Linked DNA regions of Macaca fascicularis. The protein of the gene in region 3 interacts with the protein of the main gene of each other region in a biochemical or structural test. Links are inferred from orthologs where the notes say so. Each region holds a gene or a part of one and is shown on either strand. Other genes may lie near its edges. The genes, in order: SH3GL1, SH3GL2 and DNM1.

Region 1 (6,583 bases), on a different chromosome or scaffold from region 3:
AGGCTGGAGTGCCTCCCAAACTGCTGGGATTAAAAGCGTGAGCCACCGCACCCGGCCAAACTAGGAAAATCTTAAGAATGGCTCAGTGGGGATTTTTTTGTTCCTTTGTTTTGGTATAATTATCCTCATTTTTTTTCAAAATCTTAAAGCAGGGTTTCTCAAATTTGGTACTATTGACATTTGGGGCCAGGTAATTCTTGGGGGGCAGTGGGGAGCCCTGGGCACAGGAGGATGTTGAGCAGCATCCCTGACTTCTACCTACTAGTAGCCAGCAGCACCTCACCAAGCTGTGACAACCAAAAAGATCCCAGACATTGTCAATGTCCCCTGGAAGACAGAAGTGACCCTGTTTTATAGAAAGATAAACATCCCCAAATCCTTTTGTGTAAAAGGGGGAATGTTTTTACCCTTAGGCCGGATAAGCAAGACCAGCTGAGACCTACTGGTATAAAGCATACCGCCCGTTCACATGGTGAGAATGCAGTAAATGTTCACACCACTAGGTAAGGAGACATCCCGAGAGATGTCACTTTTCAACAGGCACAGGAGAGGGTGAAAGAGTTGTTATTATACTAAAAACAAAAAAAGAAACACAAATAGTTGGATATGTCCAGATAACAGCTGAGATGTCAGAGGGAACCATGGCAATGATCGCAGAAGAGCAAGGAACGCAGTCAGGGCGACTTCTAAGAGCATGACTCGAGACAGAATTGACCAGGAGGCCAAGACGACAGCCCTGACGGTGGGCTGTGGCCATCGTGCTTTGGGACTAGGCCTCAGGATGTGGAAACAGGCAATCCTAAGCCCAGCTAACACCACACTGTGCTTTCCAGGCTTCAAGGCGCCATTCACAGATCTGAATGCAGGTCATCCTGCTTCCCTCGAGAGAGACAAAGTCCTGGTGGCTGGCGTGAGAGGCCTGGCTCGTTCCTCCAAAGAGGGTGTCAGCTCAGGACAACATGGGCACAGACCCTGATCGCTGGGGGTGGAGGAGGGGGTGGCTTCCAGAAACCTGTCTATGGCACGGAACAAAGTGGCCCAGGAATTCCTCTGAGACCTCTGAGAACATCTTTCCTGCTAGGAAGCAGCGCTCTACGATGCTCTAATCCGCAGGTGAGGGTCTGACGCCTGCTGGGCAAGGTCTAACCCAGGGCCAGGCCATCTGATTTCAAACTGCTGGGGCAAGGGGGTGGGGCTATTCTCAGCGACAATCCTAAAATTCATCCGGATTAAATCTTTCTCCAGGGTTTAACCATCACCTGGGGTCTAGAGATAGACCCTAAGTATCTATATCCCTAGACAACCACTAGGGTTGTTACTTTATTTTTTGAGACAGGGTCTCACTTTGTTGTCCAGGCTGGAGTGCAGCAGCACGATCATAGTTCACTGTAGCCTTGCACTGCTGGGCTCCAGTGGTCCTCCCCCCTCAGCCTCCCAAGTAGCTGGGACTACAGGTGCACATCACCACACCTGGCTAACTTTTCGATATTTTGTAGGGATGAGATCTCCCTATATTGCCCAGGCTGGTCTTGAACTCCTGAACTCAAGGGAACCCCTGCCTCAGCCTCCAAAGTGCTGGGATTACAGGCATGAACCACAGCACCTGGCAGGGTCCTTACTTTTTTCTTTCCAGGGACAAAAGGTACCAGCTGGGTGTTACTGGGGACTTGTTTCTCTTTGCTCCCACTGGGCCTCTCCAAACTGTGGGCAGAGAACCCTGTTTGCCACCTCGGCCCAAGCATTTGCTAAGATCATTGCTCAGGCCGGGCGCAGTGGCTCCTGCCTGTAATCCCAGCACTTTGGAGGCTGAGGCGGGCAGATCACAAGGTCAAGAGATCAAGACCATCCTAGCTAATATGGTGAAACCCCGTCTCTACTAAAAATACAAAAAATTAGCCAGGTGTGGTAGCCGGCACCTGTAGTCCCAGCTACAAGGGAGGCTGAGGCAGGAGAATTGTGTGTACCCGGGAGACAGAGCTTCCAGTGAGCCAAGATTGCTCCACTGCACTCCAGCCTGAGCGACAGAGTGACTCCATCTCAAAAAAAAAAAAAAAAAAACACATCATTGCTCATTCCTCGGTGGACTCTATCCACACAAATTCCACACAACCTCACCCTGCAGTGCATGGACCAATAGGATTCAACAATCTGAGGCTTTTTTTTTTTTTTTTCCAAGACGGAGTCTCGCTCTGTCACCCAGACTGGAGTGCAGTGGCGCAATCTTGGCTCACTGCAACCTCTACCTCCTGGATTCAAGAGATTCTCCTGTCTCAGCCTCCTTAGTAGCCGGGGTTACAGGCAAAAATACAAAATTTTTGTACTGTTAGTAGAGATGGGGTTTTGCCATGTTGCCCAGGCTGCTCTCAAACTCCTGGCTTCAAGTGATTCTCCCACCTCGGCCTCCCAAAAGTGCTGGGATTACAGGTGTGAGCCACCGTGCCCAGACAAATTTGAGGCTTGCTAGATTTGAAGTTGCAAAGTGAAAATTTTAAGTGTGCCCAGTTTTACGGAGAGTGGATCCACAGCTTTCACCACATTCATGGGCAATGGGTCCTGGACTTTCCAAAAAACCCTTTATCTGTCCAAATCAAATGCACTTAGGCTGGGATGCAACATTCTACTTCCGGGAATTCATCCTATAAAACGAATCCCACTGGTGAGCAAAGATATTCACTGGCTATTCATTGTAGTAATGGTAGCAGAAAATTCCGGTAAACAGAAATATCTATCAACTGACAACTGGTTAAATAAATTATGGTACACCTAATGGAATGAAATACAATGTACCCATTAAAAAGATCCAAGTAGGCCAAGCACAGTCGCTCACACCTGTAATCCCAGCACGTTGGGAGGCCGAGGCAGGCGGATCACTTGAGGCCAGGAGTTCGAGACCAGCCTGGGCCAAATGGAGAAACCCTGTCTCTGCTAAAATTACAAAAAGTAGCCGGGTGCGGTGGCACATGCCTGTAGTTCCAGCTACCAGGGAGGCTGAGGCAGGAGAATTGCTTGAACCCAGGAGGTGGAGCTTGCAGTAAGCTGAGATTGCACCATTGCACTCCAGCTGGGCCGACAGAGAGTGACTCCGTCTCAAAAAAAAAAAAAAAAAAAATCCAACAAGTGTGGAGTATGGTCTAGTGCAGTAGTCCTGGGGGACAGGGAAGGAAGGGAGGAAGGAAAGAAGAGAAGGAAGGAAGGGAGAGAGACAGGGAGGGAGGAAAGGAGGAAGGAAGGAAGGAAAGTAGAGAGGGAAGGAGATTGATTCTATTCCTCAGGGGACACAGGGTGATGTCTCAAGATATTTTTGGTTGTCACGACTTGGGGGTGCTCCCGGCCTGGAGAGGGTGGAGGCCAGGGCGCTGCTCAGCACCCCGCAGTGTCCAGGATGGCCCCACCACGGAGAACAATCCGGCCCCAGATGTCAACAGTGCTGACGGAGGGGTAGAAATCTCGCTCCAGTGTGACCTCCAAGTAATGAAAACCACAGCACACAGGATTCTGTGGCAAATGCTATCAGTGTACGTGTTTTTAAAGGAAAGGCACACACGTATCTTACGAAAGGGACATACGGAGTCGATGACAGTCCCTGTCTCTGGGGAGAGAGACGGGGCTGGCTGCCCGAGGAGCAGAGAGGGGAAACTGACTTCTCCCTCTACCTTTTCAACTTTGTACCTTGCCCATCCGGAGGATTTTGAACAGAACTGCTCTAGAAGCAATTTTCCCTGGCTCTGGGTTATCTGGCAAGAATCCTGTGTCGACAGCCTCGGGACTCCTCTCTTCCCCTTCTCTCCCCGCACCCCGCCTTTGCAGGGGAGGGGAGGAGGGGTGAGGTCCGCGTCCCTGGGCAGCCCCTGGGTGCCTCTCCCCTCCTCCCAGGGGTTCTGTCCCCGCTTCTGGAGCCCGCATGGCGGGCAGGGCCTGAGCCACCTCATCGCCCCCGTCCGTGCCTTGCTCTTCCCACCCGGCGGGGGACACGCACCAACGTCCCTACCTCGGTCCCTCCGGCCCCCTCCCGAGCCAGGTCGGGCCTGGCCCCCTCATCCGGGCAGCCTGGGGCCCAGGACTCGGCCCCTGCCTGGGCCTGAGCTCACCTGGCTCGCCTTGTAGAACTGCTTCTTCAGCCCCGCCACCGACATGCTGCCGCCTGCCGCCGAGCCTCCCGCCCGGACCGCGCCAGCGACAGGCTCCCGGGCGCCGCCGACCCTCTGCGCGCCTCAGCAGCCCCCGTCGGCGCCGCCTCCGCCAGCCGCTTGCCAGCTCCGCGCCCGCCCCGGCGCCGCCTCAGCCGCTCGCGCGCCCGCGCGGCCAGGATATTACATGGCAACCGCACGCTTCCGGTGCCGGCCCCCGCGCGCGCCCCCGGCCCCGTCTGCGCACGCGCGCCCTCTGCCGGCTGGAGAGCGCACGTGCACGTTGTCTGCCGCGGGAGACACCGCCTCTGTCAGTGAGTTGAGCGGGGGGAGCCTAGAGGGGCCGTAGCAGGTTCAGCGCCCTCTGGAGTCCCGGAGGTGACCCTAACGTCTTGGGAAAGGCGCTTAGTTTAAACCTGGCCAGGGAGGTTGGGAAGTAGAAGGGGCCTCTGCCTGGTTACGATTCTCCAGATTCCTGTTTGCTCATCTTAGCTAAATCTAAATCCAGTTCCTCTAAGTGTTCAGGCTCCCTCCCCTTCTTTCTTTTTTTTTTTTTTTTGCTTTTTTTCTGAGACGGAGTCTTGCTTTGTCGCCCAAGCTGGAGTACAGTGGCGTGATCTCGGTTCACTGCAACCTCCGCCTCCCGAGTTCAAGCGGTTCTCCTGCCTCAGCCCCCCGAGTAGCTGGGATTACAGGCGAGCACCACCACGCTCGGCTAATTTTTGTATTTTTAGTAGAGACAGGGTTTCGCCACGTTGGCCACGCTGGTCTCGAACTCCTGACCTCAGGTGATCCACCCTCTCCTCCCCTAGCCTCCCAAAGTATTGGGATCACAGGTATGAGACACCGTGCCTGGCCACCTCTCTTCCTCTCTCTCTGTCCTGTGTTCATCCATTCAGTTGCCCACGTGACACATGGAGACATCTAGGTCTGGCTTCATGCCCTGGCATGGCGGCCAGAAAGATGCTTCTAGAATGCAATTCAGGGTCGGGCGCAGTGGCTCACGCCTGTAGTCCCAGCAGTGAGGGAGGCAGAGACGGGTGGATCACGAGGTCAGGAGTTCAAGACAAGCCTGGACAACATGGTGAAACCCCGTTTCTACAAAAAAAAAAAAAAAACAAAACACACACATACACACACAAATTAGCTGGGCGTGTTGGCGCACTCCTGTAATCCTAGCTACTCAGGAGGCTGAGGCAGGAGAATCGCTTGAACCTGGGAGGCGGAGGCTGCGGTGAGCAGAGATCGCACCACTGCACTCCAGCGTGGGCGATGGAGTGAGACTCCATCTAAAGAAAAAAAGAGTGCAATTCAGATCACACCAGTCCCCTGTTTTAATTCGGCCTACCACCCTTAGGATACACTCCAGACTTCCTAACATATTTTACAAAGCCTGCATAATTTGGCCCCATCAACTCTCTCTGTCTCTGTTTTCTTTCTTTCCTTTTTTTTTTTTTTTTTGAGATGGAGTCTTGCTCTGTCGCCCAGGCTGGAGTGCAGTGGCACAATCTCAGCTCACTGCAAGCTCCAGCTCCCAGGTTTATGCCATTCTCCTGCCTCTGGGAGAATGTAGCTGGGACTACAGGTGCCGGCCACTTTGCCTGGCTAATTTTTTTGTATTTTTAGTAGAGACGGGGTTTCACCATGTTAGCCAGGATGGTCTCGATCTTCTGACCTCGTGATCCGCCTGTCTCAGCCTCCCAGAGTGCTGGGATTACAGGCGTGAGCCGCCGTTCCCAGTCCCCATAGATTCTTCTCAACTATTCTTTCTTCCTCTTCTATAATTCATAATCCTTGCTGTCTATGAGACTCTGCTAACATCGTTTCCCTCTTCTACATTATTCCTGAGTCTTTCCTCCACCCTTTGTACCTAAAGAGGACGCTGTGTGGTGTGTCGCCTCTTCCAGGAAGACTTCCCAGGTTGACACCTGGTTATTGATATGGATTTTTGTATCAACCGTTATTGATAAAAATGTACAAAATGAATTGGAAATAATTAATTGGAATGACTAAATGAATCAAAAAAGAGAAACTAGAAAATGACTACAGTTAAAAAGCTTGGTACTTAAAAGTGTTGAAATCGCTGAGAGATTTTGTTGATTTTTTGAAGCAGAAGATTGCTGGAAGTTTCCAAAAGCCTCAAAAGAAAGTAGTAGACTAGGCCAGGCGCAGTGGCTCACGCCTGTTATCCCAGCACTTTGGGAGGCCAAAACGGGCGGATCACGAGGTCAGGAGATCGAGACCATCTTGGCTAACACAGTGAAACCCCGTCTCTACTAAAAATACAAAAATTAGCCAGGTGTGGTGGTGGATACCTGTAGTCCCAGCTACTTGGGAGGCTGAGGCAGGAGAATGGCGTGAACCTGGGATGCGGAGCTTGCAGTGAGCCGAGATCACGCCACTGCACTCCAGCCTGGGCTACAAAGCGAGACTCTGTCTCAAAAAAAAAAAAAAAA
Region 2 (5,144 bases), about 65 Mb from region 3:
TTTCTAATAGTTTATCTTTGGATTATGATTTTCTATAGTCACAATATCATTAGTATTTCTTAAAATTGCTTTAGAGAATTGATCTGTAATACTCTAGAACTCATACAGCTAGAAAAAAACATTTTCATGTTAGACTAGTTCACATATAGAACTTTGATATGGTTTGGCTGGGTCTCCACCCAAATCTCATCTTCAACTGTAGTTCCCATAATCCCCACGTTGTGGGAAGGACTGGGTGGGAGCTAATTGGTAATTGAATCATGGGGGTGGGTCTTTCCCATGCTGTTCTCGTGATAGTGAATAAGTCTCATGAGATCTGATGGTTTTATAAAAGGCAATTTCCCTGCACATGCTCTCTTGCCTGCTACCACATAAGACGTATCTTTGTTCCTCCTTCATCTTCTGCCGTGATTGTGAGGCCTCCCCAGCCATGTGGAACTGCAAGTCCATTAAATCTCTTCTTTTATAAATTACTCAGTCTCGGGTATTTATTCATGGCAGTATGAAAATGGACTAATAGAAACTTAGTATATTTGATTACAAAACTATTCATGTTAGATTAGAAAATCTGGACTATTGGCCTCTTCACAAAATAATAGAAATGGCCCCTAATACACAAAGAACATGTTCATTTTCTTGGGAATTCAGAAAATACATATTCTGTGTGCCCTGCTGCTCCCCTATTCCCACCCACACCCAAACATATACATCAAGAGAATACTGGGTTTTTTTGGTTTGTTTGTTTGTTTGTTTTGAGACGGAGTCTCGCTCTGTCGCCCAGGCTGGAGTGCAGTGGCGGGATCTCAGCTCACTTCAAGCTCCGCCTCCCGGGTTCACGCCATTCTCCTGTCTCAGCCTCCTGAGTAGCTGGGACTACAGGCGCCCGCCACCTCGCCCAGCTAGTTTTTTGTATTTTTTAGTAGAGATGGGGTTTCACCGTGTTAGCCAGGATGGTCTCGATCTCCTGACCTCGTGATCCGCCCGTCTCGGCCTCCCAAAGTGCTGGGATTACAGGCTTGAGCCACCGCGCCTGGCCTGTTTTGTTTTTTGGAGGCAACGTCTCACTCTGTCACACAGACTGGAGTGCAATGGCATGATCTTGGCTCACTGCAACCTCTGCCTCCCAGGTTCAAGTGATTCTCGTGTCTCAGCCTTCTGAGTAGCTGGGATTACAGGCATGCGCCACCACACCCAGCTAAGTTTTGTATTTTTAGCAGAGACAAGATTTTTCCATGTTGGCCAGGCTGGTCTCAAACTCCTGACCTCAGTTGATCCACCTGCCTTGGCCTCTCAAAGTGCTGGGATTACAGGTGTGAGCCACTGCACCTGGCCTAATACTGGCTTTCGATCAAACTATATTTCCAGGTCTATTTCTTTATCTTCAATTATGAAATAAAATAAAAGGCTAGTTGAAGAGATATATTTTATTTCCCCTTCCTAACATTATATTCTTCAGATGATATCACTTTTAACAATATATCATTTAACATCTATGAGACGAAATTCTCCTTACTTTCTTCTCTCCCAAATTCTCCTCCTTCCTGGGGTTACCAGGAAGATCCCAATGTCCAGGCTAGCTACATCCTTGCTGCTGAAACTTTTCCTACATATAAAGAGATAGATATGAAGTTGGAACCAGGTCTTGTTTGGCTGCATGAGAAAGCAATGGAGACTGAAACCAGCCCCCATCCACCCATTGTTAGACCCAAAGAACTGACACAAAATGAAGAAGCAGAGCCTTTGGTTCTGTCTTCAGCAATATTTATTGGAAACAGCGATGCTTCCTGTGGTGAGAGTTTATACATTAAGCAGTAAGATTTGCCTTTCACTCCACATGATCCGCTACTGCAGGTGGCACATCGGAAGCAGCACGTTAAACCTCTGAAAGAGTCTGTACAGCTAGATAAATAGAACTCTGGATACCTAACAGGACTTTCATGACTGATACAAAACAAAAACAAAAACAAAAAAACACTGATAAGCTTACACACAGCACTGTATACACAAAATGAAGATTATGGATAGAAGGGGCAGAAGTAAAAGTAGCGACTGAATTGGGAAAGAGTTTTGCATATGCAGCCATATACCTTAAACTGCTAAGCACAAAAATCATCTTTATTTGGTCCTCATTGAGGGCAGAATCTGCACAAATGATGTTCAAAGAACACAGGGTAAAAGTGGAAAGGAAAGGTATTTACTGTTTCTCAGTCTATGAACTAGTGGAAAGATGGTTACTAGTGTTTTCCTCCTCGTGTCTCTGTGCCAAATGGATTCATGAAACATGTAATTCACAAATATAACTGAAGAGATTTGTTCCCCCTTCCCTGTGCCCTTCAGAAATAGCCTAAATACATACAGAGTTTCTGTACACCAAGAAATTTAAGCTTGGATACCAGATTTCTTCCCATTTCCTCATAATGGAGAATTTCTTTTCAGCCTCTCTCACAATAATGCTGATTAACTGTCTTACTGAAAAATAATTTGGAATTACCGCTCTGGCTTTAGTAGCAAGGAGGGAAGAAAACTGGCTATACCTCAGAAATAGCCATAAGTGTGAAGAGCTGAGATGCCTGTTTGCAGAGAATGCTTTGAACCCACAATTAACACTTTTCTAGGGATGCATTAAGAGACAAATTCATTCAGATCAGGAGACAATTTGCTGGTGAGGGAAGGCTTACTTTGACAATTCCATGACTCACATATTTGGGAAGGGACAGTGTGAAAGCAAAAACTTTCTCCTCTTTGCATGGAGAAATGCAAAAAGACCTTCAGATGCCCCCTGGGGTGATAGACAATATCTTCGGTGGGAAGGTTTTTCTGTGATGTGGCTCATGGTCATATTCTAAGAAACCACAGCCTCCTGAGAACTGTGTAAACAGCAGTTCTGTGACTACTGGCTGGTCTCAGATGATGTTTTAAAAAGCACATGCCATGCCCACCAGGCTAAGAGGATATCATCCATCACCATGACTCCTGTGGGAGCCCACAAGTCAACCAAATACACTTGGTGGGGCTGGATGACGTGGACCACTGCGGCCTGCACTTGGGATGTGTTATAAGCAGCATTACCAAAGCAGTGGTTAACCGTAACTATCTGAGTCAAGAGGAGGTGAGCCAGCCAGCATAACATCCTAATGGGGCAGGGCAACCAGAATTTCCACATAATTGATGGGGAAGAAGCCTGAATGGCCATGCAGCATCCCCTCATACCAGTTCTCATCAATTTGGTTAGTCAGTGTGATGATATCGCCCTCTTTAAATCCCAACTCCCCTTCATTTTCAGGTTCAAAGTCGTACAGAGCTCGGCAGCAGGGCTGATCCATTTGGACACCTGGGAGTAAGAGCAGGAGAGAAAAGAAGAACACACAAGGATAAGGGGTATTTAACTCACAGAATCTGCTGCCTGCTGCACCCACCTGGCTTGCTGCTCCCCGTCTTTCCTCCCTCATTCCTCTTCCTGTTGAAGCTTCTTCTTGCTACTGGACCTCAGTGTACACTCATTGGGCATCTTGCCCTCTACCAGTCCTCAGAAGCTTTCTCGGACCTTTGGAAGTTGCTGTTTATTCCTGTTTCTGTTTCCAGTATGAAAAACGGTCACAACTATTCTTGTGATACATACAACAGATTTCGTTAAAGTTTGCCTTTGTGATAATGCCCAGAAATAGGAGGGACAATGACTTAAAAAGAATATAATGATGTAGGTTAATAACACAGCATGGCCTGAATTGTCTCATGTGAGCACTTTAAAATCTTTGCATATTTGAAAAAGTATGGTTAATTACATGGAGAATGTTTTTGAGTAACAGTTTGGTTATCGCTGTTTAAAATGATAATCCCAGCCTCTGGAAAACTGCTGTAACGTGGTAACAACAGAATAATATAAAACACTGAGTTCAAGTTTTTACTTTCTGTGACCTTACACAGGGCACTTCACTCTCAGTTTCACTGTCTGAAATTGGATGTAACAGTAGGACTTACTTCACATTACTACTGTGGCTACTAAATGAGATTATGTAAAAAAAATTATATAATTTATACTTGGTAAACTGTTGCATATATAAATATAGGCAGTGCACTGGAGCTACGGCATACAAAAATAATGTACTCTACCTCGAGTAAAATAATGAAGGATGAAATCATATCTTAAGAGGGATCTATTCCAAATGACCCACTGCATTAGTATTAGATGCATACATATGTAGATACAGACTCAGACAAGTGCACACAGCTCCCATGCCATCTAGGTGGCTGGAAAGGAAACAATGATTTAGAGAAAGAAGCAAATGACTGAGTCTCCAGATGAAAAGTGAAATATATGGCTGGTCTGCAGGCAGGGAGAAGCACAGCTATACACAATTTCTATGACTAGTCCTGGTGGCCAGCATCAGTAGCCACAGCTGCTTATGCCATGCCCAGAAGTGCTGAGCACAAAGGGCAGAGAGCGCCACCTGCTGGCTCAGATCTTATTTTTTTTCTTAATAACTGAGAGCATCTTACAAACAGTTTTCTACCGTAGAACATCAAGCACTGGGGATACAGGAAAAATAAAAGAAAGCTGTCTATCTCTAACATCCACATCCAGTATAAGACAGTTCCCACTTCAAACAAGCAAATGTGGAGGTTGAAAATGTCTCCAGCACAGGCTGTTGTGTAATCTGCATGTAGGGAGTGGAGAGCAAGCGTGACAAGGAAAAGAATGCTCTATTAGGTATGCATCGATATTCCTGAGATAAAATATCATCTAGCTTTTATTATATCAACCCCAGTGCCACAGCATGATAAAGTGATCAGAGGTGAGGCACGGGAAAGAAAACCCAGCAAGTGTCGAGTTTCAAAATATCTTCTGCAAATATATTTAACCATATGCTTCTGTGACTCAAGAAATCCAGCTCATCAGCACATTTCTGGAGCCGCTTGCCGTCTGTGGGCTCTATGTGAATGCATATGGGGACACACTGTCCAGGGGCATTCATTGTCATACAGGCTGGATTCAGAGGGAACAGGAAGGAGAAAAGATGACACACGCAGACCAAACTGACAAGGAAAGGCAATTTACGACCACAAAGGAGGGTCAAAATAAAATGTGTTCATGTGTGCTGATGATTGAGAGAGAAAGGGATATACAAATAAAGTTTTATACAGAA
Region 3 (6,417 bases):
GGGAGGCCGAGATGGGCGGATCACGAGGTCTGGAGTTCGAGACCATCCTGGCTAACACAGTGAAACCCCGTCTCTACTAAAAAATACAAAAAACTAGCCGGGCAAGGTGGTGGGCGCCTGTAGTCCCGGCTACTCGGGAGGCTGAGGCAGGAGAATGCCGTAAAAACCCGGGAGGCGGAGCTTGCAATGAGCTGAGATCCGGCCTCTGCACTCCAGCCTGGGCGACACAGCGAGACTCCGTCTCAAAAAAAAAAAAAAATAAGGGTCCCCTGAGCACCAGGCCTGGGCTGTGCCCTACACAGGCATTTGATCTATTATTATCCCCATTATCCAGATTAGTTAACTGAGGTTCAGAGACGTGGAGGGACCTGGGTCATGCAGCTTGTTTAAGGCCCAGATTAGGCTCCTAATCCACTCCCTTGTGCTACTAGGGAGAGGGCCTGCTTGTTCCCCATGCCTGCCTCGAAGATTCCTCCCCACAAGGGTCACTCTCTGATCACCGTCTTCACAATAGCAACACCACCCTACCCCGCCCCTGCTTTCTGGCTCTGCAGGGCACATCATCTAACAGGGCCATCGGTATTGCCCTATTTCCATATTGTCTGTCTTTTTCCACTGAATTGTCAGCCACATGTGGGTAAGAACTTTGTCCATTTTGCTCACTGCTTTATCTCTGGAGTCTAGCATAGTACCTGGCTCAACAAATCCGCATTAAATGGATGAGTAAGTGAACAGTCTTCAATTCACAGACCACTTTGTCAGCAGTGCCCCCACACTGTTCACAGCACAGGGAAATGACTCACTGACTCCCCATAAGCACAGTGTAGGCTAGCCTTCCCTTCCTAGCCTCCGCCATGAATACTAATTAGGTTTCTTAAATGCAGAGGTGGATGGCTGGGCTCAGGGCCCCATGGTCTCTCCGTGTGAAAGGGTAAGCAGGGCAGGATTGTAGGAGGCTTGGATTTGAATCCCACTGCTTTTTTTTTTTTTTTTTTTTTTGTGAGACGGAGTCTCGCTCTGTCGCCCAGGCTGGAGTGCAGTGGCGCGATCTCGGCTCACTGCAAGCTCCGCCTCCCGGGTTCATGCCATTCTCCTGCCTCAGCCTCCTGAGTAGCTGGGACCACAGACGTCCGCCACCACGCCCAGCTAATTTTTTGTATTTTTAGTAGAGATGGGGTTTCGCCGTGTTAGCCAGGTGATCTCCCGACCTCGTGATCTGCCCGCCTCGGCCTCCCAAAGTGCTGGGATTACAGGGGTGAGCCACCTCGCCCGGCCGAATCCCACCGTTTTATGCTGTTTTACCACCATCCTAATGGGCTGGAGCAAAGACTTCCAACTCTAGGGCAAGAGCTTCCAATTCTCCCAAGAAGGGCCTTTCAGGCATCAGGGCCTCTGCACTTGCTGGTCATTCAGCCTGGCATGCTCTTCCCCCGATCTGCTTGCTGCTGGCTCCTTGTCATCGTTCTGGTCTCTTCTTAAATGTCACTTCTGCAGAGAAGTCCCCCGACTCCTCCCAAGTCAATGTGAACTTTCCACACCCACAATGATACCTTTTTTTCACACTGTTTATTTCCTCCATCCCTGTTACTATAAACTATTTTCATTTTTACTGTTTTGTGTATCTGCTTATCCATTTAGTGTCGATCTCACCAGCTTGATGCAAGATCTATGAGGGCAGAGGCCTTGGCTGTCTTATTCGTTGCTCAATCTTCCGTGCCTAGGACAGGGCCTGGCTTCTAGCAGGTACCTAGTAAATATTTGTTGAATTCATGCTCCAACTTTCTCCTTCTAGAAACAAGGAAACTGAGGACCAAAGGCAGAAAGGGACATGTTGGAGATCAGAGTCAGGATCTAGGGGTCGAAGGCAGCGAGGTGAAGGGGAACTCCAGGTCAGGAAGCTGTGACCTCAGAGGAAGCCCATCTACTCTCCAGGCCTCAGTTTCCTCATCGGTAAGATAGAGTGAAACATCCATGACCACTATCCAAGAGGCCTGGTACTAGGAGTGAGACCCCACCCATTGACAAATATATTCTGCGCAGCATCCGTCCGCGCACCCTAGACACTGCTAAAGCACCCCGAAAGCCGCAGAAGGTTAAAACTACGACACCCATGGTGCCCCGGGCGGCGCCTGCGCACGGCGGCCGGCCCGCAGCGTCGCGGGCTCCCCCTAGCGGCTTCCCGGAGCGGTGCTCGCTCCGATCCCCGAGGGGCGGGGGCCGCGCGGCTCAGGCAGTCGGGGCGCGAGGCTGCAGCGGCGGAGCCGGAGTCGGAGCCGGGAGCGCGAGCGGCAGCCGGATCGCAGCCTGCGGGGCCCGCCGCAGCCATGGGCAACCGCGGCATGGAAGATCTCATCCCGCTGGTCAACCGGCTGCAAGACGCCTTCTCTGCCATCGGCCAGAACGCGGACCTCGACCTGCCGCAGATCGCCGTGGTGGGCGGCCAGAGCGCCGGCAAGAGCTCGGTGCTCGAGAATTTCGTAGGCAGGTAGGCGCGGCGCGCCCCCAGGCGCCGACCCCCGACCCCCAGGATCCCCGGAGTCCCTGCCCGGGGCACCGACGGCGCGGCGACCTCGCAGCCCCCGACGCTGCACCCGCGGCCGGCGCGCCCCCCACCCCCAGCCGGAGCGAGGCGGCCCTCCCCACCTCGAGAGCCCCTCCGGGCAGCAGCGCCGCCCGCTAGTCTGCAAACGTCGTCAAGCCTCCGGCTGCCGAATCACGCCCCCTCCTCCGTCCCATCCTTTAGGGCAGACAACCCTCTGACAGAAGCCCTGGCCAAAGGGCTGCCCCCCGCCCCCAACATGGGCATGGAGAGAGCCCGCATTACTCAGCGCCTCCGTTGGGCTCCGGGAGTCCCTTGGAGCGGGCAGCACCCGGGGGCAGCGGCCCCCCCACCGGACTCTATGGGGGACATCCTCCTACCCCCATGGGAATTCCTGGGCCGTGGCAGGGGTCAGACCCCCACCCCAGTCCCTAAAAGAGGACGTAGTCCCGTGGGCATCGAGGACCCGGTACGGCCTCCCCCCGGCACACACACACCTCTGCGGCTCCCGCCGCCATCCGTGCGCAGCGCGGCGGAGAGGGGGAGGCGCGGGCTGCAGGATGAGGAAGGGAAGAGGGGAGGAGAAACCACTTCTTATCCTTCTCTGAGCAGCCGGCCCCTTGCTTCGCCACGGCCCCTGGGTGGGGGGCGCCTCTCAGTGTCGCCGTCCCCTTGGCCTGGCCAGAGGGATCGTGATGGAGGGAGAGGCGGCAGAGGGCAGAGATGACTAAGACCGGGATGGCGGGAGGGGGGAGCCATTTGCAGAACCTAATCCCCCTCCCGCCTCTGATCCCACAAGGCGCTGGGAGGCCTAGGTGGCGGAGAGGGGAGCAACCACAAAGACAAAGGGTCCTGGGATTACGGGGGCAGGGAGGGTCGTGACCCCCAGGCTCTCCCCAAACCCCCAGGGGGAGGAAGAAACAGTTTTTCTGGTGCTGAGGACAGAGAGGAAAGATAGGAGCTCTCCAGGTACTGGAGGTGAGATGGGGGGCTGGGCAGACTGGGAGACGAAGTGAGAGAGTTTACACTGACCCCCTCTTTCATCTCCCCCCCATCTTCTTCAGAAACCCTTGCTTTCTTCCAATGACCTTCAGGGCCAAAAAAGTGACTGGCACATGGGAGAGGGAGGCAGGGGTCCTTCTCCGCAGAGGGACAGCAATTCTGTCCAAGCCAGGTTCTGCTGCAAAACCTCAGGCAAGTCACTTGCCCTCTCTGAGCCTTAGTGTCCCCATCTCTAACATGGACAGTGGGACTAGATGGTTGTTCCTGCCCCTCAAATGTCCTGGGAAACCCATGCCAGCCCTAGAGGTGAGAGGGAGAGGGCCTGACTGGAGCCACGTATGTGTGGGATGTTGGAATGCCACCGTGGAGGCGGCCGTGCCCATCTGGTCAGCAGAGGGGGAGGCATCTGTCTCTCCGATGGCTCCTGCAGAACCCCCCTTCTGATCACATGACCCCCAGAGCTGCAGAGACCCAGGCAAGAGACACACAATGAGCCCCTTCCCCAAGGGCCGGCAGTCAGGGACAGCCAACAGTTTAGAGTGGAGAAACCATATTCCTACCTCTCCTCCTTTGAATGTTGGCTGAATTCCTGCCCCACGCCAGGCTGCGTGCTCCAGGCTTGGGGTAGGGAGGGAACCAACTGGTGATTTCAGCCCCCGTCTACTGAGTCCATCCTATGTACCCCCTATGCTGAATCAGTCATAGGCTCACAGGAGCTCCCAAGAGGCAGGCACCATGATGCCCATCCTACAGATGAGGAAACTGAGACCCTGGAGGTTAAATGCCTTGCCCAAGGTCACACATTCAGGAAGGGCAGCAGCTGTTAGACTCCAAAGCCCAGTTCCTAATCTCGACGCTGCACATCCTCTGAGAGCCGGATCCTGCACCAGACACAGGGACAAGCGGGTGGGTGGGCCTCCATTTCCCCATCTGTGGAATGGGAACGCTGACAGCCACTGCCCTGCCTTCCTGAGAAGGTGACTGTGGGCTCCACTGAGTTCATGGGTGGAAAGGTTCTTTTGTAAATATGCGGGACAGGGCGTTGATAGCCAATTAGGCTTGGGGACCTGCATGTCCAGCCCCTGCCCTCCTGGAGCCCATGATGCAGGGGCCAGCCCTGACCACGGCAGATTTCAGCAAGTACTTGCTGGCTGAGTGGCGGAGCAGGGTGTGGACTGTACCCCAGGAGGCCTGGGCCCTCTGGCTGCCCTCTGCACCCCAATGCCCTTGGCCAGGTCCCCACAGGAGGATGTGCAGGGTGTCCAGATGCAGGCTCAGGGCAGGGGAGGGGGCTTAGGTTGATGTGAAGGAGTAGGCAGGAAAGCATTCATGATCCCCTGAAAGCTAGTGAGAAGGCCAGGGAAACTGAGGCTCAGTGGGTTCCACCATCTCAGCCTGACAGCTCCTTCAAGGGCTCCTGACCTCTCCAACAGGGCTCAGTCCCCAGCCTGGTGAGCATAGTAACAGCCATTCTGTCTCCTGGGGCTTCCCAGGAGCCAATCCCCCACGGAAAATGCTTCAAAGGAAAATGCATCAGGGCTGTCCCAGGTCCACCTGGGCTTCTGGGCGCTCAGAAGGATCTTGCTGTCAGCTCTGCAATGGAGGTAGCGTTGCAGCTGCCCGGGATGCTGCTAGAACTTGTCTAGGTCTATACTGTTTCTTCACCCCCTTCCCTTTTACAGAAGGGAAAACTGAGGCTAATTCATTCAGTCATTTAGTAAACATTTGTGGAGGGTGCACGATGTCTTGGCACTATGGTGGAAAAGACCAAGGCTCTGCATTGCAGAGGGAGAAACTTAGAAGACAACTGGAAAATGTGGTCAACGTCAGGGAGGGGAGCGGGGCTGCTCTCCCAAGGGAGGTCAGAAGTCTCCGGGAGGAGGTGGCATCTGAGATGAGAACCGAGGGATGAGAAGCTGTGTAACTTGCCGGGGTGGGAGAGTTCCGGGCCGAGGGAAAGGTGCAAAGGCCCTGGGGTAGCAAAGAATTTGGTGCCTTTGAGGAACAGAAAGGACCCCCTGTAGCTGGTGTTTGGCTAGCAAGGGGGAGACAGGACCTGAGAGACAGGCAGGGGCTAGATCTACAAAGCCCTTAGGCCACGAGGAGTGAGGAGTTTGGGTTTATTTTCTCTCTTGTGGGAAGCTTTTTAGTAGTGGATTGACTTGAGCTGATTCTAGCAAGGGTGTGACTTGGGGAGGGGGTGAGGGAAAAGGCAGGAGACTGGTGCGGAGGCTGCTGCAGTGGGCAGAGGGCAGTGGAGGTCCCGAACGAGGGCTTTAGCTGCAACGAGAAGGAGAACGGTGGGTAGGTTTCAGGATATATTTTGGAGGAAGTCCTGCTGGAGGATGAATGTGGAGGGTGAGGAAGGAGGAATCAATGATGACATCTGGGATTTTGACCTGAGCTCCTGGGTGGGTGTTGGTGCCATTAACAGAGTCGGGAAGAGTAAGGAGGAGCAGACTGGGGGGACGGGGGAAGACCAGCGTTTGGTTCTGAACATATTGAGCCTGAGATGCCTGTTAGACTTCTGAGGGGAAGATGTCAACTGGCAGTTTGGTGATGCAAGTCGGGAGCTCAGGGGGAAGGCGGGCTGGAAATAAAAATTTGGAAGTCGTTGGTGTAGAGATGGGATTTAAACCCGAGAGTAGATGAGCTCATCCTGGGGGTAAGTGTAGACGGGGGAGTGTTTGTGGACCCAGCACCCGCCAGCCTTTCATGAACAGATGCCTGGTGCCCTAGGCCAAAGGGGCCTCCTTGCTGTCCCTCCAGCTCCTCTTTATCACCCCCGCCCCGCTACACCCCCCACCCCAATGCTCCTGTAGGGCCAAGAGTGGGTTGTCCCTGGACAGGCCAAGTCCGGTGGGAATGTGGCAGAG

The links.
Region 1: the proteins of DNM1 (region 3) and SH3GL1 form a complex in vitro, tested with the Homo sapiens proteins (2 studies listed by BioGRID and IntAct, with this or other methods). The link is inferred for Macaca fascicularis from reciprocal best matches to the Homo sapiens genes DNM1 and SH3GL1.
Region 2: the proteins of DNM1 (region 3) and SH3GL2 form a complex in vitro, tested with the Homo sapiens proteins (2 studies listed by BioGRID and IntAct, with this or other methods). The link is inferred for Macaca fascicularis from reciprocal best matches to the Homo sapiens genes DNM1 and SH3GL2.

What each region holds. Positions count from the first base shown.
Region 1 is NC_088393.1:5,134,963-5,141,545, forward strand, and holds the start of SH3GL1 (endophilin-A2), read right to left. Parts: upstream 4,281-6,583; 5' UTR 4,134-4,280; coding exon 4,089-4,133; intron 1-4,088. UniProt on the Homo sapiens protein: Implicated in endocytosis. May recruit other proteins to membranes with high curvature.
Region 2 is NC_088389.1:81,059,808-81,064,951, forward strand, and holds the end of SH3GL2 (endophilin-A1), read right to left. Parts: intron 3,332-5,144; coding exon 3,132-3,331; 3' UTR 1,745-3,131; downstream 1-1,744. UniProt on the Homo sapiens protein: Implicated in synaptic vesicle endocytosis. May recruit other proteins to membranes with high curvature. Required for BDNF-dependent dendrite outgrowth.
Region 3 is NC_088389.1:15,776,224-15,782,640, reverse strand, and holds the start of DNM1 (dynamin-1), read left to right. Parts: upstream 1-2,232; 5' UTR 2,233-2,324; coding exon 2,325-2,485; intron 2,486-3,036; exon of another isoform or gene 3,037-3,309; intron 3,310-6,417. UniProt on the Homo sapiens protein: Catalyzes the hydrolysis of GTP and utilizes this energy to mediate vesicle scission and participates in many forms of endocytosis, such as clathrin-mediated endocytosis or synaptic vesicle endocytosis as well as rapid endocytosis (RE).